Rhinolophus ferrumequinum: one gene and its partners. The protein of the gene in region 1 interacts with the protein of each later gene in a pairwise test. Links are inferred from orthologs where the notes say so. Each region holds a gene or a part of one and is shown in the gene's direction. Other genes may lie near its edges.

Region 1 (7,440 bases):
AAGCTCATTTTGTTTTTCGAGTTTAAGGACAGTTATAACTGCAGGAAGACCAGAAATAAGTGTGTTGGGTTTTTTTTTTTGTTTGTTTTTTTCCACTCCAAACATTTGTGACCAATGTAAATAGCAGGATCTCAGTTCCATGACACTGTACAAAGCCTGAAGAAAGGACCTCAGAGATTTGTTTGAACAAGATGGACATATACAGGTGTCAGGCAGGCACTGATATCATAGTTAAATACTATATACATACAAAGGGGGATATAAAGACTAAATGATATGCATTTATATCAAACAAAGCATTCTGATCAGAGGTGGTCTAGTGAGATCTAAAATGTAATTACATTTTCTCTGGGGTAAAGATTGGAGAATGAAGAGATTAACGCTGGATTTGTGAAGAGCCTAAAGGACGTTATCCCTGGGTCATTTTTCTGTCATATTCGTTATCCCAGATGGAGAATGGACTCCATTCTTAACCCAGTTCTTTAAACCCCTCTTTCCCTTCCAGTGACTGCGATGTGGCCTGGGTCTCTGCGCAGGGTCGTAATGAGACGATAGCAAGGCGGCTATGGGATGTCAGCTGTGACCTGCTGGGCATCCCGATGGATTGACGGGTGGTGGCAGTTGGACCACTCAGTGCACCCTGCCAAAATGATTCTCCTTCAGGATGGCCAAAACCTTGAGCACAAATGGAACAAACCTTCCAGCCTTACCAGCATGATGTCCAGTAAAATCCAGGGTACACTGCCAGATTCACCGAGACACCTTGCACTTGTCCAGAATCACTTTGGTTCTGTTATTACCAGAGTTACTAGAGATATCATAGGATAAGTAGACCTTCATATGACCTGCAAATTCGTATTTTCCTTCTGAAACCTACTACCTAGGAGAACCAAAACTTTAGCAGGGTTGATTTGAGGCAGTCTGGACTAGTTTCTACCCTCTGTGTTCACAATGAAGTTCCAACCAACCAACTGACCAACCTTCACCTGAAGAAGACCGTGATGCAGCTTCCGCTGAACTCCAGGAGTCACAGTGGCTTTGCTCAAGAGCAGGGCTTGTCCCTCACCTCTTAAGAAAACCATCATGGCACCAACATCTGAATTCTTTCAAGAAATTTAGCTGAATCTGGACTGTGGCACAGCTTTCTCTCTGACAACCTAAATCCACTGCTAAGACATTTTCCCATGCCTTGACCATGAAAGAACTTTTCTAAACAGTCTGTGGAGTTTGTAGGATGGCAGAAATTCGGAGGAAGGCAGAAATAAAAATCAAGTTTAAACTGTCATTTTCCTACTGTTTCTCTGACCAGCAAGGGGATAGTGAAAGGAGCAGTTTGAGAAAGGAGGCTTCCTGACTTCAGTTACTGACCCCAGATCCACGGAGGCCTCCCTTTTTGCCTGAGATTCTCTTAAACCAGAAAAAGGGGAAAGGCTATTTGGTGATTGTTACCGAGTATATGTATTCTTGTGTATTTATGCAGTTGGGAGTATTTTCACAAAATTCAAAATAGCCACAAAGGAACAATCTTAAACTGGACCCTGGTGCAGGTAAATGATAAGAGTTGGAGCAAACCAGTGTCATCCAGTCTCTGATACAGATGGGTAGAGCTGCAAGCAGAAGCAGACTCTGTATGTTGATACCTACCCACTAAGAAGCACATGGGTAGCAGAAAAGAGGATAAGCCTGGAACATAATGCATGCAATGAAGGGACTACTTAAGGATTAAAAAAAACAAACTAACAAAAAAAACAACTAAAGATGGTAATATCCAGCTAAAGAAGAATTAAGGGTGAGCAGAGCACCTTAGTTACAAAGACTGCTAAGGCACTATCTTAACAAGCACCAGTTAACTAATATGGCAGGAAAAAAACAAACAAAAAAAAAAACACCTCAATTCGTTATTTAACAAAATTATCTTAAGGACTGATATTGGCAGTTACAGTCAATTTAATAATCTTTCAAGGCGTTTCCTTACATTATCTTGACAAGATTAAAATGTCTATTTGCTTAAAAAAAAAAACCTACATTTTATTTGGAGAGCTTTTACAAAAGTAATGCTGCCAAAGGAAGTCTAAGGAATTGGTAATGTTTCTATCACTTGTTTAGAGTATGTTATTTGTGATTTTCTTGAACTGACAATTATATATTTACTCAGTGGAGAAAAGAGTTATAGGACCCCAGTCTTCTCATATTTGTAAGTTAATAATCTTTTGTTGAACTTGTTTTGATCATTAAACTATATATTCAGAAACAGTCATTTTATGGAAAAATTGGAAAACTTCTGATAATAGTACAGTAGAATAACTGAATTAATATTTTACTTAATTTATATTGACCTGTCAATGACAAAGAAAATATTTTGATTGTTTATCATGTTTTTATTTTCCAGAATAAAAACTAAGAATTAAAGGAAAGTTTAGAGTCAACAGAAACAATTAAAGGAAAGTTTAATTATAGTCAAAAGAAGAAAACACTTCATTATTATGGTTATGCAATCATTTCTCATTCTAAGGATAATTTGTCCCAGATCATTTCTCATTCTATGGATAATATGTCCTAGAATCTAGCCACAGTACACTTGACTGAAATGCCATTCACTCAGTTGTGTGATGATTTGATTATTCATTCACCTTTTTTTTTTTTTAATTTATTGGGGTGACAATTGTTAGTGAAATTACATAGATTTCAGGTGTACAATTCTGTATTACATCATCTATAAATCCCATTGTGTGTTCACCACCCAGAGTCAGTTCTCCTTCCATCACCATATATTTGATCCCCCTTACCCTCATCTCCCACCCCCCACCCCCCTTACCCTCTGGTAACCACTAAACTATTGTGTCTATGAATTTTTGTTTCTCATTTGTTTGTCTTGTTCTTTTGTTGTTTATTCACCTATTTTCTACTTTTATGATGCTGTTCAAAGATCATTCTTTTTTCCCCCCTTCTTCCGCCTCCCCTCCCACTCTGGTTTAAGCTGTTATTTTTCAGTCTAGTTGTGTAGGACACAGTTCCTGGCCCATGCTGGTATTTATAGCCTTGCGCTCCTCTGGGCGGAAGCAGTTGGTCACCGGTTGTTAGTTGGCCGCTCACAGCAGCAGGCGGCAGTATGGGGCCTGGGAGGCACCCCATTGCTCGCGACAACCTCCAGCTGCTCACCTTAGCCCAGCTCCAGGGAGAGCTGCTGTTCACAATCTTAGCTGTAGAGGGCGCAGCTCCGGTAGGAATTCAACCTGGCCCCCTTAGCGTTAGGAGCTCCGCGCTCCAATCACCTGAGCCACCTGGCAGGCCCCTCAAAGGTCATTCTTTCGATCCCAGGGCATTTATCTCCTTTTTGTACCTGCTCCTGTTATAACATGCTATGGGACTTCTCAGTACACTGCCACTAACACTCAGACTTTGCTATCTCTCTATGCTTAATAGATATAAGGAGCTCAACAAAAGTTTGTTCCATCAATGGTCAGTGAACTCAATAAAAATAAGGGTCGGGTCCAGGAAACATAAATCACCAGATCTTTCCTCCTGAACAGTCATATATCTCTTAATATGAGTGGGCAGTTTAAAGTATAGGGCTGCCAAGCAAACATTTCAGAACGGGGTCCTTGGGCAAATCATGAAATCAGTAAAAATAGGAATTCCCTTTCACTGAATCATGAAAACCATGGAACGCAGGAAAGGACATTGTTAATACATCACACTTAGTGGGAAGGAGACTGGAAGCCGCGTCGCCTTGCCTACCACATTATAAATTACCCAAGGGCAGAGTGAATCTTTCATTCACCAACATATGCCAGACCCCTGCACAGTGATTACGCTTAACGTTAAACACCTGCTGAGCGAAGGATTGCACGAAGGCCAGCCCAGCTGCTAGAGGCTGAGTCTGTTTTGGGGATCACACCACCGGGGGACGAGTTCTGAAAGAATGTGACCCTGGTCACTTGACCTCCCCAGAAAAAGTGCTTTACCTAACGCTCGAGGAGAAGCAGGGACCGGGCCCCTCTACCTTTCGAGGCTGAAAGCCAACAGGTCGTGAACTAAGGAAGTTAGGGTGGCCAAACAGTGCGATTAGAATGAAGATGATGTTCGGGCGCATACTGATACCAAACCACTGCGTGTCAGCTTAACCCTTCGCTGCTACGGCGCTGGAGGAACCACCGACCCCCGCAAAGCTTGACCTCTGAGTCGGAGCGCTTTCCCCCGCCGAACTACAGCCCCCGGCATGCACTGCAGCGTAAGCCCGATGCCGGAAGCCAGGGCCCTAAAAAGAGGCGGCCGCGCTGCCGGTGCCACGGATCCCCACAGTCCTTTCCTCTGTGGCACACTCCCCTGCCATGGGATTGGTATTTCCGGGACTGCGGGACTGTCGCTCACTGCGGTGCGCCGTCGGTCCCACAGGAGTCGCCCCAGCAGCTCAGTCCTGTAGATTTTCCATCAGGCTTTCGCGCCCGGCGCTCCCTCAGTGACAGATGAAGGGGTGGGCGTTCCGGCTCTGGAGGACCCCGCCGCAGCCCCGGAAGCGCCTGGTCCAAGGTGGCGGTGGTGGTGGCTGTGGTTGCGGAGATGCCTGCGGGGCTAGGTGGCTGGCCGCCGGGTTAGGAGCGGGTCCCGGACCCAGGATCTCCGCGGCCGCTGCTGGAGCGCGGCCTGCGCCATGGCGACCTCCGCCGCCTCCTCCGAGCATTTCGAGAAATTACATGAGATCTTCCGCAGCCTCCATGAAGACTTACGAGCGGTGCCGGAGCGGCTCCTGGGGACTGCAGGGACAGGTGAGGCGGGGCGGGCCGAGCCGTGGGAAACTCGGCCCCGCGCGTTCAGGGAGGAAAAACTCCCACTCTTCTTCCAGACCTGGGTCCTCTTCTTTCCGCTCCTTATCTTCAAACACGCCCCCTAAAGTGGGCTGGGTCCCGGCGCCCAGCATCTCCCTGTTGCCTCTTAGGGTGCTCAGGGATGGACCTTGGAGTGTCGTTTCCTTGGAATTCTTGATCCTCCTATAGCCTGCAAAATTTTCTCGTCTTATTTTCACTTTGGCATGAAGAGCATAGGAGACTTTAAATCTGCGGTCCTGTATTTCAGTAAAAGTGTTTGCTTTTGTAGCTCTCTGTGTTTTGTTTTATGCATTTAGAAGATTATTCTCAGAAGAGGTCCATAGTTTTCACCAGACTGACAAAGGATCCGTAGCACTAAAAGGGTTAAGAACCCAAAGGAATCATAACTTTGGGGGTTGGTAAATATCAGTTTTGAGGAATTGGTCTTTAAAATCAGGATTGTAGTGTTTAGGTGTGGTCCTCTTACGTTCTGCTTAGACTGTTTCCTGCCCCTTGATTTCAAAATTCAGGTTGCTGCAGGGTTTGTCTGGAGTAGCTAGAGTCGTCCAGTTAAATCACGGGTGTCCAAACTTTTTTCAACGTTTTTCACCAAGGGCCATATGCAGTAAAATACACAAACAGCTGGGCCACTCACTGGAGGTGAAGTACGTATTGCCTCACCTGGTTTATTTAAGTAAACTAAATATATTTTTGGAATTTGCTGCGGGCCAATTAACAATGGATTGATTGCAGGCCGCAGTTGGCCCGCGGGCCGCAGTTTGGACACCCCTGAGTTAAATCCATAGGAAGCATACATAGTTCTTTGCCTCAGAACGAACTAGATCTTGATGGCAAGGCAGATAAGACTTTGTTTCATTGTTTTCATTTAAGGGTCAGAGCTTGAGTATTAGCTCTGTGAGTTACCCAAGGTCCTAGGACTTGAATGACTGGAAAATGAAATAGATAACGTTTTTTTAACGTGTATTTATTGGGAGAGGTTACTCTGTACCAGGCACTGCCCTACATGTTGTTCATACTGCAGATTACTTTTCAAAATATTGAAAAGACTTACAAATCCCCTTTTTAGTGGATTGATGATAATATATAAATATTAAGAGGCCGTGTTAATGACAACACAGGCATATCTCGTTTCATTGCACTTTACTGTGCTTCACAGATGTTGCGTTTTTTTGCAAACTGAAGGCAAGACCCTCCACCTGCAAAAAGATTATGACTCACTTTATTGTGATACTCTCTTTGTTGCGGTGGTCTGGAACCCAATCCGCAGTATCTCCATGGTACGCCTGTACAGGAAAATAAAGCAGGGCAAAGGAATAGAGGGAGGGGGCGTTCTAATTTTAAATAGGGTAGCCCTGAAAGGCCTCTTTGAAAAGATGTCATTTGAGCCGACTTGAATGAAGTAAGGGAGTAAACCATGCAAAAATCTGGGAGAAGTGAGTGTCAACAGGACGGAATAGCTCTTACAAAGCTCCTTAAGCAAAAATGAGCTTGGTATGTTCTAGGAAGAGCAAGAAGGCCAGTGTGTTTGAGGTGGAATGAGCAAAGGAGATAGTGCTAGTAGATGAGGCTGGAAAGAGGTAGGCAGGCCTGATCACGTGGGGCCTTGTAGACCATGGTGAAAGATTACATCTTTTTCGGAATGAGATGGGATGCAGTTAAAAGGTATGGAGCAGGAGAGTGATGCGATCTGATTTACATGGTTGAAAAATACTGTGTTTTCAACTTGGTGCTGAATTAAATTTTGCAATATCCATTTCTGCAAGGCTAAATGATGCATTCTGTTTGAAAAATAGAACACTGAGTTAGTTATATTCACCTGTGTCATCTACCTAGCCTTTTCTCATTTCTGCAAAGAGGACAATCAAAACGGTGTGAATTTTTACCCAAGCACAAAATACTCTAACACAAATTGATGGTAACAGACTTAGTTGTTCAGTGGGTAAGTAAATACAATGTACACATATCCCCAGGTTGTAGTAAGAATTTCAGCAACTTTCAATCTCCTTATTCATTACCTGTTCACACTGTTCAATAAATATTAAGCAAACACACTGGGCCTCACTTCTGAATCCTTTTTTCTAATTCTAGGACTACTTCATAGCTTTCCAGAGCTTTAATTTCCATCACGAATTATTAGCCACTGAATAATACCCATAACACAGTCCTTGCATTTAGCTTATGCATTGTAATTAAATTCAGTCATTTTTCAATAAACATTGAGAATTACTATGTGTCATTCACTCTCCTCGGCCCTAAGGAGGTCCGAGAGAGAGTTCTTGCCTTAAATAGGAGCAAATTTACAACAAAGTGTGTGGTGAGCCTCAAAATAAGAGACCTGAAAAAAAGGCTAACAACTTGGGTGTGGGGAGCGAGAGGGAAGCTTTGCGGAAAGGAGAACTTCGAACTGAGTGTAAGTGGCTGAATGGGAGTGTGCCCGACAAAGAGGAAATGGGAAGAGGCAACAAAAGAATAAAATATTGACTACTCATAACTGTGACTGGAGCTTAGGATATGTGGGAGAGTGGTCGTAGATGAGGAAAGTGAGACACAGCCAGATCTTGAAGGGACCTAAGTGTCACATTAAGACATGTATACTCGAGATGGAGAATCAGTT
Region 2 (7,986 bases), on another chromosome or scaffold:
AATAAGTGTATTAATATAGAATGTATCATAGAATACCTTACGTTATATAAAATATATATTGTATATATATATATATATATATATATTATATAGTTTAGAAGTTCTCCAATGTTAGAAGGTAAAATGTGCTATCTTAGAAGAAAAGATAAACGGAGAATGAGACTACTGAAGGGATCAGAAGAAGACAGACTCCAGTATTGATTAAGGAGATTGGTCAGGGTAGGTCTCTTGAGAAAGTGACTCTTGAGCAGAGATTTGAAGGATGTGAGGGCACTAGTTCTATGTAACTGACTGTTTCCCTTTCTTTTTGGCATCCAAAAAGGTCAGAACCAAATTTGAGGCTCAGCCCTCTAGAGGGCCCTGTGGTCTGCAAACTTGTGGTCTTTTGTCCATCAGAGAGGCAGGACAGGACAAGTGGTTAAGGACATAAGTTCCTTATCAAACTGGATCCAAACACTGGCTATACCACTTACTACCTACATGACTTTGGGTATCACATTTAATCTCTCTGAGCCTCAGCTCCCTATACCTCAAAACGGAGATAATAATACCACCTCCTTAACAGGGCTCTTTGAAGGATGAAATGAAATAATGTACATAAATTATTTGCATACAAAAAGAACTCAGTAAAAATCATCTGCAATTACCGTGTTTCCCAGAAAATGAGACCAGGTCTTATACCGTGTTTCCCCAAAAATAAGACCATGTCTCATATTAATTTTTGCTCCAAAAGACGCATTAGGGCGTATTTTCAGGGGATGTCTTATTTTTTCATGTACAACAATCTGTATTTACCCAAATACAGTCATGTCATCTTCCTCTGGAACATCGTCATAACGTATCAAATGCGTCCATCTGGCCGACAATCTTAACTGGGGCTTATTTTCGGGGTAGGTCTTATTTTTGGGGAAACACGGTATTAAGCCTGGTCTTGTCTCTCAAAGTTTATTTACGCTTTCCTCCGTCCTGATTCTCCATCCTTGTTGATATTTTAACATTGTTTTATGGTTTCTGCTCTTGTGGTAAGCTACCTCAAATCCTTTGTGGATTGGGTGGATTATAAATAAGTAAATAAATAAAAATCTGGATAGGGCAACATTTTCACTCAAGCAAAACATTTTATTACCAAGAATGAACTGCAAGTGAGGCCAAAAAACAAAACATATTGACTCTAATCTCTAACAGTCCATCAGAAAATACCAGCAAGACACTCTGGTTACCAGACCATCTTTCTCTTTCACAAACACCTCTTCCTCCATCTATCAAGAGAGAGCAAACGAGTCACACAAAATGACCCAATAAGCCTAAATTCTCCCAACCTCACAACTACTTCATTGTCATGGGTTTCAGAGAACTTTCCTTCTTCCCCATTAGAGAAGAGAAAAGAACTTGGGGTTGCTTTGCATGGTGATGGGCTGAGGGAAGAGTGCTGGCTCAATGCAGAGTCAGACGTGGTTAGAATCTCATTACGGCCATTACCTAGTGAGGGCGGTGGCCATGGGAAAGTCCCTGGACCTCTCTGGGCTCCAGTTTCCTTGTTGGTGATAACAATAGCTCCCTCCTAAGGTGTCTGTGCAGATAAAAGAGAGAATGAAGAGAAGAAACAAGGATAGCTATTGGTAAAGCTCTCAATAATTGTTAGACTTTTCTTCCTTACCTGCACCGCAGGGCAACACTCAATGGACTATGGGAATCAGAAGCTATTCTAAGAGGGTGTACAGGGCAGACATGGGGTGAGGAAACTCGTTTAAGTACATCCCTATATGATAGCAACTCCCTCCAAGAAGTAAGGGGAGGGGCGGACGGTGGCTCAGTTGGTTAAAGCGCAAGCTCTGGACGACGGGGCTGCCAGTTCGATTCCCACATGGGCCAGCGAGCTGTGCCCTCCGCAACTAGAATGAAGTCAATGAGCTGCCGCTCAGCTCCCAGGAGGCCAGATGGCTGTTTGTTGGAGTGCAGGCTCTCAACCACAGGGTTGCCGGTTTGACTCCCGCAAGGGATGGTGGGCTGTGTTCCCTGCAACTGGCAACGGCAACTGGACCTGGAGCTGAGCTGTGCCCTCCACAACTAAGATGGAAAGGACAACAACTTGACTTGGAAAAGTCCCGGAAGTACAGACTGTTCCCCAATAAAGTCCTGTTCCCCTTCCCCAATAAAATCTTTTAAAAAAAAAGAAGTAAGGGGAAAAGATCATTTTTGAGCTCCCCTTACTTTCTAAGTATATCACCACATTTCTTCCTCGCCATAATCCTTTGAGATAAGCGTTGTTATCTACATCTGACAACTAGGGCTGGACTTGAATCCAGAGCACACAGCTAGGAATGTCTGAGAGGCAGCTCTGGTCTTCTGAAATTGACTACAAAGGCCAAGGACCAGGTTCCACCACAGGCCATCAGAGGTACCACCGACAGAAACCTGCAAGTTCCCAGCCCTTCTGCAGTGCCATACCTCTGTGACTCCCTAGCTGAACTGAGTTCAGCAAGAATCTAGGACAGGCTGACCTGGCTGAGGCTCCCTAAGCCCCTCCCCTCACCTCCATCAGCCCCCAGGGCCTGCCCTGTTAAGGCATCCCTGCTTTCTATAAGCTTTGGAATTAGCTGGATCTGAATTTGAAACACACACCCCTCACCTATCAACTGGAGGACCTTAAGTAAGTCACTTATTCTTTCTGGTTCTGCTCCTAAAAACAGGGATATCAAAATGCCTCCCTCCCAAAGCTGCCATGCAGATTAAACATAGCAGTGCATTGAAAACACACTAAACTGTACCTGGCACATAGTATTCACTCATTTATGGTAGCTGCCGCTGTTACCGTGATACCGTCTGGGGAAAATCAGCATTATGCTGAACCACAGAGATGACGGTTGTCAAGGAGAGAGCGCGTGTCCTTGGGCACCAGCTGACGGGTCTACCCACATTGCCACACAGGCCAAGCATCGTGAACTGGTTATCTGGCAGTTATCTACCCTTCCCCTCGCCCCACCGGAGACTAGTTGGGGATAACAAGAAGACTTAGCAGGGCTCTGTGCCCCTTCTATAGACTAACCAAGGCCCAGGCAAGGGCCTCCCTTCACTGTCCTTGATCCACACACATGCACTGCTGGTACCTTCTGTTCTGTGAACTAGGGAGAGAGAAGGGACCCAGCCCTATCCCAGGAATTCACAGAGCACTTGGGGGAAAATACAAAGAACTGCAATTACAGCAAACAGAAAAGAAGGAGGGGCCAAGTGTCCCTGGGAAGATGAGGGAAGGCTCCATAGAGGAAGTATTTTAACTGCACCTTAAAAATTAGGTAAGATGTGGAGGGATGCCATTCCAGACTGAATGTACAGCACAAGCAAAGGCAAGAAATGGGGAAATATGTTTTTTGTGTGTTTTTGTTTTTTTATAGAACAGAGTGGTCTGGTGAGGCTGGGTGAACCGGGTACAGGAGGACTGAGGTGAGAGCTGGCAGTGAAGAGCCAGAGAGTCTCAGGGGCAGGAAACACAAAATAAAGATCATGACTACCATGGAGAAAATGGGGGAAGTGGCCTGCAATTTAAAATAGGATGGTCACAGAAGGCCTCTTTGAAGTGACACATTTAAGAGGTAAAGGAGCAAGCCCTGTGACTATCTGGGGGAAGTTTTCAGGCAGAGAAAATAGCAGGGCAAAGGTCCTCAGGCCACAGAGTGGTTGCCGTGTTGGCGATGCATTAAAAAGGCCTGGAGTGGTAAGAAGTGAGGTTGGAAAGTTAAAAGGGAGCCAGCTCATGAGATACCTTGCAGGCAGTTATAGAGGCTTGAGCTGTCACTTGGATGAAATGGACAGCGATTGTAGGATTTCTAATAAAGGAGCAACGTGATCTGACTTACTTTTTTAAAGGATCGCTCAGACTGCTGTGTAGAGAATCAATTGCAAGGTACCAAGAGTGGAAGCAGGGAGACCGGTAAGGAGGCGATTGCCGAAAACCAGGCGAAAGAGTATGGTGGCTGGAGCCATGGTTGTAGCTGTGTGGTGTGCTCCTCGGTTTCCTCATGTAAAAATGGAGCTTAGGATCCCCGCCCTGTGTACAGCCCAACGCTTAAAAAAAAAAAAAAAAAACATCGGGATGGAATGTCAGGAACCTCTGGCCAACCGAGTGCCAGCCTGGGGAATGTGGGATTGTGGGCTTCCTTACGCGCCCGGGCCCCTGGTGCCCACGAGAAAGGCAAGACAGGTGCGCGCCCCGCGAAGCGTCCGGAGGGCAAGACCTGGCAGAGGAATACCTTGCTCCCCAGAGACTGAAAGGCAAGGGGAGGAAGGAGGTTGCCTATTCCCAGCCCTAGAGCGGGTCCCGGGCACCCGGCACTGTGTGAACCCCGGTATGCAACCACTCGGCTTCTGCAGGTGTGGGCATCGTGCGAGCCTCAGGAGGGTAACGCCACAGCGCCCCTCCACGCAACACACCCGCGCCCCCAGCCCTGACCCCTTTGTCTCACTTTCCCCTACCCCCATTTGTCTGCCTGTTGTCCCACGCCGGGCTCGGCGCGCACGGTGCCGCGGGGATCCCTCTGACTCGCCGTAGCGGCGCAGCCCGGGCCTGGGGCTCCCAGGAGGAGAAAGTCATGAATGAAATGGATGCGGTTCTCCTGTCACCCCGCCCTCCCTGTCCAGGCAACCTCGGCGCGGGGGCGGTGCTTGCGGGGACTCCGAGCAGAGTCGGGGAGGGGGCGCCCGAGATCTGGGTCAGGATTAAGGGTCTGCGATCGGCCTCACTCGGGCCCTGGGCGCTGCCGGAGCTCCCACCTCCCGCCCTCCAGCCCCGCCGGCCCTGCGCAATTCCCGGGGAGCTGCACAAGCCTGCCGGGAGGCGGGGCGGAGCTGGGGCTGGGGGGTGCCGAACCCACCCCGCAGCTGCGCCCGCGACTCCGCAGCTGAAGCGCATTTGGTGGGGCGGTCCCGCGAAGGAGCGCGCACGGAACGCGGGACAGAGCGCTGGGCGGACAGACCCACGGACGGACGCCCCCGCACACGCAGACGCATAGAGCTTAGCGAGGCCCTGTCACACACACACACACACTCGCGCAGACACTCACAGGGACACACGCAGACACACGCACACTCGCTTGCACAACCTCCCGCCGGCCTGCCTGCCTGCCCGCTCGCCGGCGCCCGGAGCCCGCTCTGGCCGGTAAGTGTGGCGTCACCGTCGGCGCCTTTGTGTGGGGAGCTGGGAGGCGGAGGGCACGGGGTCCCTCCCGGGGCGGCCTCGCGACTGAGACCTCCTCCAGCCCCCAGGGCCGCGGAACCCGCTCCCGCCCCCGCCACGCCCCCATAGGGCTTCCGACGCCCCCGGGCTGGGGGAGGGGTCCCCCACACTGCGGGAGGGGGCCGGGCGCTGGGGAGCCGGGAGGGAGTAACAGCCACTCCCCACGGAGCTCGGAAGCGATGCTAGGGAGGGATGGGGTGATGGTCCCGGGTCCGAGCCTCTGCGACCAGGGTTTGTGCGCGCGCGGTTCTTGGCAGCATCGTCTCTCCAGTGTCTGAAGCTCCGGAAGGAGGTTAGAGATCGCCGCTAGCCTGTTGGCTTGTAAACTGCGGCTCTCAGCCTTGGTTCGCTTCTCCTCCCCCGGACCATGTAGCTTAAATCACTCGCTTCCCACCTACCTCCAAAATAAAAGCCCAGCGCATTCCCCTCCTCCAGGATGCCCCTTTTTTCTAGATGAGGCCCAGGTTCCTGCAAAACTTGGAGACTGCCTAGGTCAGAGCCCTAAGGGGTTTCACCTTAACAAGGATCATGTGGCTTAGAGTCAGGATAAGGTGAACCTTTGGAACTCATTTAACCCCCTCATTTTACAGATGGGGAAACTGAGGCCCAGTGATGCGGTTTGACCAAGGTCACCGGAGAATTAGTAGCAAAGCCTGCATTAGAATCTGGGGTCCCCGGCTTTCATACTCATTCCGCACCCCTACACAATTTTATCCTGCTCCCATTGAAGCCTCAGAACCCCAGAATTCATCTGAGTGTACCTTGAAAGTCTTTGTAATTCCAGCCCCGCCCCCACTCGGAGCAGCAGGTGCCATTCATTTACTACCATCCTTACTGTAAAAAAAAAAAAAGGGGGGGGTTAGCCTTTCATTTGCCTCTTTCCGCCTCAGAGGAGAGCTCTCTTCTTATGCAAGTGCTCCAGGTTTGGGGTTTAGTTTTAGAGAATGAATCAGTCCTGGACAGATCAGATTCCAAGGTGTACACCCTGGTTCTCCCAGGAGTCATTGGGCCTGTGTCCTCAATTGGACCAGGTGATGTGGCATTCAAGGAGTCATCCCCTTCCCCTACTTTGACCTGCCTGACTGCATGCTTTCGCCGTCACTCTTCCCTCCTTTGTAAAGGCCTAGGTCTTCTAATCCTACGAGGCCCCTTTCATCATCCCTCCGTGGATGGAAGTCCTCAAGTCCTTCATGTCAGGTTACCTCTTCCTCCTTGATGTTTGTTGAGTGTGGTTGTTGGTGTTGCTGACAAAGCTACTGGGGAAGCTTGAGTTACAGCCTTATCAGGCTCGGGTGACAGCTCAGGGCAAGGCTCCCTCAAGGGCACAGAGAGGGTGCCCTGAGAGGTATGTTGAAGGAGAGCAAGCTGGGTGGTGTATGGACAAAGCCAATTACCTTTGAGGAGACTCCATTGGATGGGATAGTTGGCAAGGAGGGCACGGTTCAGTCTCTAGGGGCCTCTTGCCTCAGGAGCTTCCTTCTTGGGTGGGGTGAGCAGTGTGGCATGAAGCAGAGCCAGGGTGACCACCTGACTAACTCCAGGAGCCACAATTCATATTGTAGTCCGCCTAAATGGCATTGTGCCCCAGAAGCACCATTTGTGTAGACTTCATAATGAGTATTGGCCCCTTTTTGCAACGCAGTGGCTCCCACCCTGAGAGTGAAGAGATCTGGGTTCCAGGCCCATTTCCTCACGGGCTGGACAGTTTCATTAAACGCTCATAACCTCTTGGGTCTCAGTTTCTCCATCCCAAAAATAAGATCATCATTTTGAAGAGTTTCAGGATATCTTGCATGTCTGCATTGTTGGGGGTGGGAAGGGGAGCACTTATTTTATAACTGCTGTGGGCCTGGTTTTCTTCTATGACTCTGTGAAGAAATGAGATGAGATAATTTATGAAGGGTACTTAGCACAGTGCCTGGGGCCTAGAAAAAGCTCAGGAATAAGTAACTATAATACCATTAGGGCTCCAGCTTTATGGCTATACCCTTCACTTCTTCCCTTTTTCAGATTGCCCAAGGAATGGGATTTTTAGGGCCTCAAAGTCCCTCTCCCTCAAAATCCCTCCCCTCCGACCTGTTCCTGGATTTGAGGCTCAGCCAGCATAAGACATCCAGGCAAACTGCCTGGGAGAAGTCGCACTTTTGTTTTATCAGTTATTTCACACCTAAGTGTGATTCAATTTATTAATTTATATTGTGCCAAAGCATTTCTTACACTCTGTAACTTATACTTAATCCTCATAACACACCCATGATATCAATAGTGTTATTGTTGCCATTTTATAGATGGGGAAGTTAAGATTCAGAGTTTAACTTATCTACGGGGGTGTCCTGTAAAAGTCTCAGAGCCAGAGAGTTGTACCTCCAGCTCAGATCATCTGACTCTAGATTATGAACTCTTTGTTCTATGTCACAGTGCCTGTCCTTTTCCAAGATCTGTCCTAAAAGAAAGGTAGATAACCCCTTGGAAAGAGTGGAGAAGAAAGAGGGTTTTATTCTTCTGGAAGATTAGGAATGGCTTCTTGGAGAAGCTAGGTAGCATTTGAGCTGGGTCTAAATGATTTGTTCAATGGAAGAAAGGAGGGGAAATATTGCAAGTAGTGGAAACAGTATAAGTGCTTCTAGGGCACGTGTAGAAACAAGAAAGCAGTTCGTTCCAACTGGTGCAAAAGGGATGAAAGAGGAGCAGTGAGAAGCAAGGCTGAGTAGGAGGGTGGAAGTAGTTGCTGGGGGCATTGAGTGCCAAGCTAAGGG
Region 3 (7,443 bases), on another chromosome or scaffold:
CCCTCCTTTCCAGGTGACTCTTGATCTTTCTTTTCCTTTTCGATGTTGTCTCTGTAGTAATAAATTTTGATTGTATAGCTTTAATTCTGTGAGAAATTCTCTCCCACTTTTCCCACTTCCGCCTCCTAGATCCTAGTGACCATAAAGCCTAAGGCATTTAGACCCACGTGGAGACCTGGTGATGGCTGTTACATTCTCTCCAACTATCTGCCTTCTGAATGTTATTTTCTTGCCCCTCTTTGAACTCTTCTTCCTAGCTTTAACAATTAAAGTATGGCTGCACCCTCAAAGAGTCTAGACTTTTCTGAGGAGACATATTTTCTAGAAAAGTGTGTGGAAATAGCTATTTAGATTCACTGCTTTTAGGCTTTACTTTGTATGTGAAACCACACTTCCGCTAGGTATTAAGGTTGTTTCAACTATATTTTTATTATAAAAATACTGTATACTTAGTGTGGAAATTTGTAAAGTACATATAAAGAAGCAGGAAAAAAAAATCATCCTTTCATCCAGAAATATTGTTGTGTTGCCATTTTAGTGGATTTCTTTCAATATAAACAATTTTTGTTTTTGTTTTTGTTTAAAAATACTGCAGTGTAAATATTTTCCCCCTCTGTTTACTATAAAAATCATTGAGAACTTAGCGTTAGAAATGTTATTCAATTTTTTTTTTGGCCAAAAGCCATTTATTTTAAACTTTACTTTCAGAAAGTCTTTTCATTGATTTTATTGGAGCATAAGTTATTGCTGACCCCTCTCCATAGTAAGACTCCATTTTAAGTCCTACGAGAATAATCCATCTATGACCAATGTTATTTATATTGTGTTTATTATTTATATATGTTTCTGTATGTTTGTAGGAAATCATAAGCCTGTTGAGAGAATGTGTGTCTTTAGTACAGCCTTGGTTCTTGGAGCTTAAACATGAAATATAAAAAGTTTCCTTTTCAGTCACTGAAACAAAGCTTAAAATGGTGGTGATAAAGGTCAGGAATGTGGTCTTAGGAATGTATAAGCAGCTTTATTTTTCTTATTTAGGAAAGCTCTGAAATAATTTATCTTTAGCCTGCTTTGCATGTAGTAGTTAGGTATTTATTATATATCATTTATTTGTAATAGCCATTAAGAGTTAGCAAAGAATTTCATTTTCTTGGTTGATCTTAAAGCGGTGTTATTTGATTGACTTGATGTATAAAGATTCTGATCCTCTTTACTTTTTTCCTCTGTTCTGTCACATTTATGATGTCATTTTTTAAAATTAATGGGATGGCAGTTTTTCTTGTTGAGCTATCTATTTAAGATAATGAAGAGTTGTCTGTCATTCATAGTGGTCCTTGACAGGCAGGCCAATCTTGGCATACCAGAATGGGGTTTGGCAGTATTGGGTATTCCTTCCTAGAGATCAGGCAGCCTCAGAAATTCGCTATAGCAACAGATGTTGATATAGATGCTGCCTTATTATTATATCTTTATATGTGTGCTTCCTTTTCTCTATTTGTCAAGACCATGATCATCTGATTTTGTGTGGTCAGTTAAGAAGAGCTTTAAAGACTCCTAATAACATTCGTGTTAGTAAATCACACACATTTATGGATAACTTATTATGTGCCAGGCCCTGTTCAAGGGATTAAAGATACAATGAAGAATAAGATCAAGACAGAAGAAAGTTAAATGTTAAAGGTTTCTGTGACTCAGGAAGTAGGGTGAAATATGTCTTAAAGTATAATAACCAGTATTTTCTTTGTCAAAAAACCAAGACTAAGAACCTTGTTTTTCTACAAGATCCTTGTAGAAGCTTTAAGTCTTATAAAAAAAGTCAATTAGAAAACAATGTGAGTGCTACAGCTTTTTAATCCAAATTCTGTTAAGAAACTGAGTTTTAGAAAAGATTTAAGTAACTTATCCAAGATTGTGTAATGGTTATTGACAGAGTCCAGGCCTAAAGCCCAAATATGTATTTACTAATTGAATTTATTTTTCTAACTTTTAGAAGTAATACATGTAACATAAGTTAAATTTTTCTCTTCAGATAAATCAGTCATTTTTATAAAACTTCCAAATAGTTACCATTTTTAAATTTTATCTTCTATTTTTTTTTGTTTTATCAACTTTAAATATTATCTAATGTCTTCCTATTGAAGGATGAGGAATTTAGTTCTTTACGTTATCTCCCACCTCACCTCCCATCTCTTCACTTTCTTCCATGTTGATGTTTGAAATCATTCAAACAGTTCCTGGTTGCTGTGTCAAGGTCTTTAAATGTTGTTAGGTAGAGTTTTGAAAGTTTTTCTTTCACAATGACTCAGAGCAAATTATCACATGTTAATTCTGGGTTTTAAGGAGGCCACATATATCAGATCCATGTCCAATCCATCAACTGCTGAATTTTGTCTGGAAGTTATTCTCTTACTGCAAAAGTATAAGGTACTGGGCCATCTTCTTATTATAGGGTAGCAATTGCCTTGAAAGCGTAGGCAGCAGACCATATCTGAAACATGTTTAAGTAAGCAACCATCACACCAGTCACTTTTAGAACATTTTTATCACCCCCAAAAGAAAACTCACACTTGTTAGTGTCACTCCTCATTTCCTCCCAAGCATCACCACCACCACCACCACCACCACCATCACCACTCCTAGCCATAGACAACCACTATGTGGTCCCTTGTGACTGGCTTCTTTCACTTAGCATAATATTTTCAAGGTTCATCCATGTTGTAGTATGTATCAATGTTGATAAGTACTTAAACTCTTTATTCAGCGTCTTTTAAATGCACCTTTCCAACATTAAGTACTTCTGTGTGGTTCTTGCTGTATAATCTAGTCACTTGCCCTATCAGTAACGTCAGAACTTCAATTTTTAACTCATGATTCTGAGATTTGTTGCCAAGGAAGTGAGTTAACAAAATCTATCCCATTTCTTAGTAAAAACTTTTCACTTCACTTTTTTACTTTTAGGAGACAGACCTACATCTAAATAAAATACTTTCCAAAGATATTAGACGTGACCATTGTACTCCAGTGAATTTTATGACATTTGCAATGACTGTTTTATGCTTTCTTTGATTTGTTTTACTATCTTCTTGGATATAATGGTAATAATTTGAGGAGCTTTTATATGTTTATGAAGATCTTTCTATCAGTGTTAAAATGTTTCATGTATATTCTTTGTTCTACTCATAGCCTTTTAAAATAGCACGTATTTTCCAAATGTATTAAGTTAAAACATTTAGGAGGAGAGAAACTAAATCAAATCATTTGACAACTTGTTTGGAGAGTTAAGAGTTAAAGGAATTAATCACTTAAGATATCAAACATCTAGAATGAGAGCTCTTGGTGTGGCCACACTAACTTCATTTAAATCTGAGCAATTTTTTCTTGATACTCAGTTGTTATACTTCTAAATATTTTAAGTTGGGACATGTAGAAAAAACTCTTTTGGCCATCCTTGGCAGCTGAATCTCATATTTGTAACACTTTGAGTAAAGGCATTCTTCATTCTTGAGAATGTCTATAGCAATCTTTTTTTTATTTTTACCAAAAAAAAAAAAATTACTTGAAATCTTAGAGAGATTAATTATCCAAATTGCTAATGTGTATTGATTTTATTTTGCAGAAGCTGAGTATCTATGGTGACTTGGAATTTGTGAACGAACAAAAGCTAAACAGATACCCAGCTTCTTCTCTTGTGGTTGTTAGATCTAAAGCTGAAGATCACGAAGAAGCAGGGCCTCTACCTACAAAAGTGAATCTTGCCCATTCAGAAATTTAAGGGTTTTTTTGTTTGTTTGTTTGTTTTTTTTAAGAAAAATGTAATAGACATCTAAATTTCCATTCCTCATAGAGCTTTTAAAAATGGTTTCATTGGATATAGGGCTTAACAATCACTATCAAAGGCAAATAAAGTTACCCAAATCTGTAAAGACTGTATTTGCTGTAACTTTCCCTGTAACTTTTTCCTAGTAATTTAAGAGGTGAATATTTGGAGTTGTATTTTTATTTTAATATCTGTAGCTACTTTAATTATTATTTGCATTGTTTTTGTTTATTTTCTTTCTTAGCCAAATTCTATGAGCTGATCATTGTTCTTCCCCACCTCTCGCCACGATGCCATCAATCACCTTAGGTAATAAGCTGAATGCTCAGTAGACTATGATGCTTCTGCTCAGAAATAGCCCACAGCCTGTAACTTGAAATTTAGCAGGAAATGCCCTTTGATGACACTACATTTTCAGTTGGATTGAACTGAAGTTATTAAAATTTTATTTGAATAATTACGTGGAAATTGAGTTTAATAGACTCCTGATTTTCCAGTCTTTCCTCTCACCCCTAGCCAACCCAGACAAAAATTCCAATCTTTCTTCTTACCCCTAGCCAAACTCTAGAAATTCTATTTCTATCTATTGCTATATAATATGATCAGGGAACAAATTGAAGCAAAAATGATCCTCTCAGAAGTGCATTTTATGTTATTTGCACAGCCCGTAGACTTTTGTTGGATAAGTCTTTCCAAAGAACCTTTTCTGTTAGAAAGTATATCAAGTATAAGTTTAAGATATTTTCAGAGAAAACTTCATTTTGACAGTAAGAATTAGATTCTTGTGATGCAGAATTAAGTATAGATTTCACTTGGCAAAAGCTATTATTATCATTCCTTTATAATAATACAGATTTAAAGCCAAGAGTGATATCAGGTAACACAGTATACCAGAGTCTTAACATGATTCGGTGTCTTTATACCATAAAATGTTAAATAACTTGGCAAACCAATATCCTCACCAACGGGCATTGCTGACAACTGCAGTAGCACTTTCTGACTAAAGAGTGAGTCACACACTTACCTTACAGACTAGTCATAAGCTTTCTCTGAGTCCAAAAAAAATACAATTAACAAGACCTTGTTCACAAAACATAGGTTTCACGTTTTAAAATAGTTTGTCTAGATTCGGAAGCTAAAGGGTTAGAAAGTATGTGAACACATCCAGATGCAGAAGAGAGGAGGAATTACTAGGCTGACATCAAGCAGTCAATGTCTTATTTTTTGTGAGAAAACAGTTACAAAACATGAAGAACGGATTGGAGTTCACCTTTAAAATAAAGCCCAATTGTCTTATTCCCTACCCATGGTACACACTTAAGTTCCTTAATATCAGGCACAGGTTTAACTGAAGCAAACCAAGGGGGAAATAAAACGTGCAGATTTATAGGAGTCAGCCCACTGTTAGGAAGGGCCTCCCTTATAAAAACAAAAAGAATATCTAGATAAGAAGGAGCAACTGGATGATTGTCCTGCATTCTCTCACCTTCCCTTGGTTTTGTTTCCGTTTGCTTTCCAAATAAAGTTCCCTCTGACAATATTGATTCAAGTGCAGGTAAACTTACCACTCTTGTTTATGAGACAATTCCTGTATGTGGAAATACCTCATCATTCCTTGTATTTAGTAGGCACTCAGATACTCGTGTCCTGCCTTCATTTTATTTCACCATGATTAAAAGAGACTGACATTAAAAAAAAAAGTTCTACTTTTAAAAAAATTATATCCCCCCAAAAATATATGCATGTGTACACACACACACACACACACACACACACACCCATAAAAAGTGTTTGACTTGAAAATTCTAACGAAGGCAACCAAACCGAGCCTCTAGGCCCCTTCTCCTAAAGGAACAGTTTAGCCCTTCTTTGGTGGGTCCAGCTTCATTTGTTTCCATGAGACAGGTACCACCTTCTTTCCTCCTACACAAAAAGCATCTTCTCGAGAAGATGCTTTGTCTTGGTCCTAGGGAAGTTCTGAAGCCCCTTGAGTCTCTGGTTCAAACCTCACAGATTCCTAAGGTCCTTGGTTCAGGTCCGTAGTCTAAGAGACATACTGATTCGGGCAATTATGAAAATAGTCACCATAATGATCTAGGCCCAAGATTCTGTCTTTCACAAAACTTCATGGATACCTTTTATTTATGATTGTTTTTTGGTAAATAAAAAATTGCCAAATCGTCTGGTCCATCACTCTTGTCTCAGAAATTCCTATGATGTATCATCAGCCCAGCTGATCAGCACGTGAAGCCTAGTGTTTTTACTCAGCTGATATTCTAGCCAAAAGCAAACAACTTTATCCCTGTTGTTCATCTGGCTTTATCATAGATAAATAAATGTGCCATTTCTATTATAATTTTTGTGGTCTCTTAAGTATCTTAGGGCCACACGTTGGGAATCATTGATCTAGAGGTTCGTTCTCAACTAAGTCCCCATCACTGCCACCCCATGGCAGTGATTTTGCCCAGATATCCTATTATAGATCTATAGTTCAACCATTCAGCAACCACTTGAGAGCCTGAGTGCCAGGCCCTGTGCTAGATGATAGGACTGCAACAACAAACAAGACCCAGGGCCTGACTCGAGTTGCTCAAAGTCTAAAAGAAGGAAACATTATTATTAATGTAATTATTGTGACCAGATAAGCAGAGTACTACGGAAGTACATAGGAGGGCCCTAACTTCTAGGAGGAAAAGGAAAATCCAAACAAAATACAGGGAGTAGTATTCCAGGCGTGGGCAGTATGCTCAAAGACCTAGAGACAAGAGGGTGGGAAACTACAAATTATTTAGCAGGCTAAGATACAGCATACAAAGCATAGCAATAGATGGGACCAGATAATAAAAGACTTGACTAAACTTGGATTCGATCCTGAGCATGATGGAAAGCCATAGAAAGGCCTTAAGCAAGAGAGTTGCAGAGTTTTAGAACAACTCTCAACAAGGATGTGGAGATAGACCAGAGGGGCAGGCCCAGAGGCCATCAATATCTTAGCTCTATGGTAACCGCTGGGATCTATTAAGTTACGTACCTACCCAGCCACACTGAAATGGGAAATTTCGTTTCCTTCCCAGACTTCTCTTTTTTAAAATGCCCAATATTCCTATTTTCTTTCATTTTACCTCATGTATATTTTTGAACTCTTCTCTATAAGGCTCTCTGTACCCTATATTTTGTTTGGATGGTAAGCCTAGGACTAGCCTCTGAGACCTGGTCACAGTCTGACTGTTGCCAAAAAAACTGGGAAGGCTTTTCCATGGAGCCCAAGCTTCTTACCAGACTTCATGTTGGGCAAAATTTTTAAACTATAATGCTATGTCAACTTACCATCCTAAAGCTCTAAGTTTGCCAACCCAATTTCTCCAACTTGGTGTGCTCTTGAGCCCCTCCCACCAGGTTTCCAGTGGCTAAACATTTCATGTTTGTATTTGAGCATCATCAGGATGAGGTACCTTATTCGTCTTTCCTTGACCACTTATTCTGGACTGGAGTCTGCAGATGGAGGTATGTACCGTGATACAGATAAAAAAAACTGAGATAGTGGAAAACGGCAGTCTTCTGTGGGAAGCTAGAGCATACAGTTAAGTGTGGATTTTTCAACTCCTTCAAGTAATTAAATTCTGAAG

The links. The genes of interacting proteins can lie anywhere in the genome.
Region 2: the proteins of VTI1B (region 1) and PTPN5 interact in binary tests that used the Homo sapiens proteins (3 or more experiments, as listed by UniProt). The two-hybrid records come from large-scale screens. The link is inferred for Rhinolophus ferrumequinum from reciprocal best matches to the Homo sapiens genes VTI1B and PTPN5.
Region 3: the proteins of VTI1B (region 1) and LDLRAD1 interact in binary tests that used the Homo sapiens proteins (3 or more experiments, as listed by UniProt). The two-hybrid records come from large-scale screens. The link is inferred for Rhinolophus ferrumequinum from reciprocal best matches to the Homo sapiens genes VTI1B and LDLRAD1.

Annotation. Positions count from the first base shown.
Region 1 is NC_046289.1:29,057,946-29,065,385, forward strand, and holds the start of VTI1B (vesicle transport through interaction with t-SNAREs homolog 1B), read left to right. Parts: upstream 1-4,439; 5' UTR 4,440-4,651; coding exon 4,652-4,766; intron 4,767-7,440. Other genes in the region: RDH11 (retinol dehydrogenase 11), read left to right, coding at 506-608. UniProt on the Homo sapiens protein: V-SNARE that mediates vesicle transport pathways through interactions with t-SNAREs on the target membrane. These interactions are proposed to mediate aspects of the specificity of vesicle trafficking and to promote fusion of the lipid bilayers.
Region 2 is NC_046294.1:35,297,720-35,305,705, forward strand, and holds the start of PTPN5 (tyrosine-protein phosphatase non-receptor type 5), read left to right. Parts: upstream 1-4,968; 5' UTR 4,969-5,152; intron 5,153-7,986. UniProt on the Homo sapiens protein: May regulate the activity of several effector molecules involved in synaptic plasticity and neuronal cell survival, including MAPKs, Src family kinases and NMDA receptors.
Region 3 is NC_046292.1:38,714,004-38,721,446, reverse strand, and holds the start of LDLRAD1 (low-density lipoprotein receptor class A domain-containing protein 1), read left to right. Parts: upstream 1-4,425; 5' UTR 4,426-7,321; intron 7,322-7,443. Other genes in the region: TMEM59 (transmembrane protein 59), read left to right, coding at 3,617-3,772.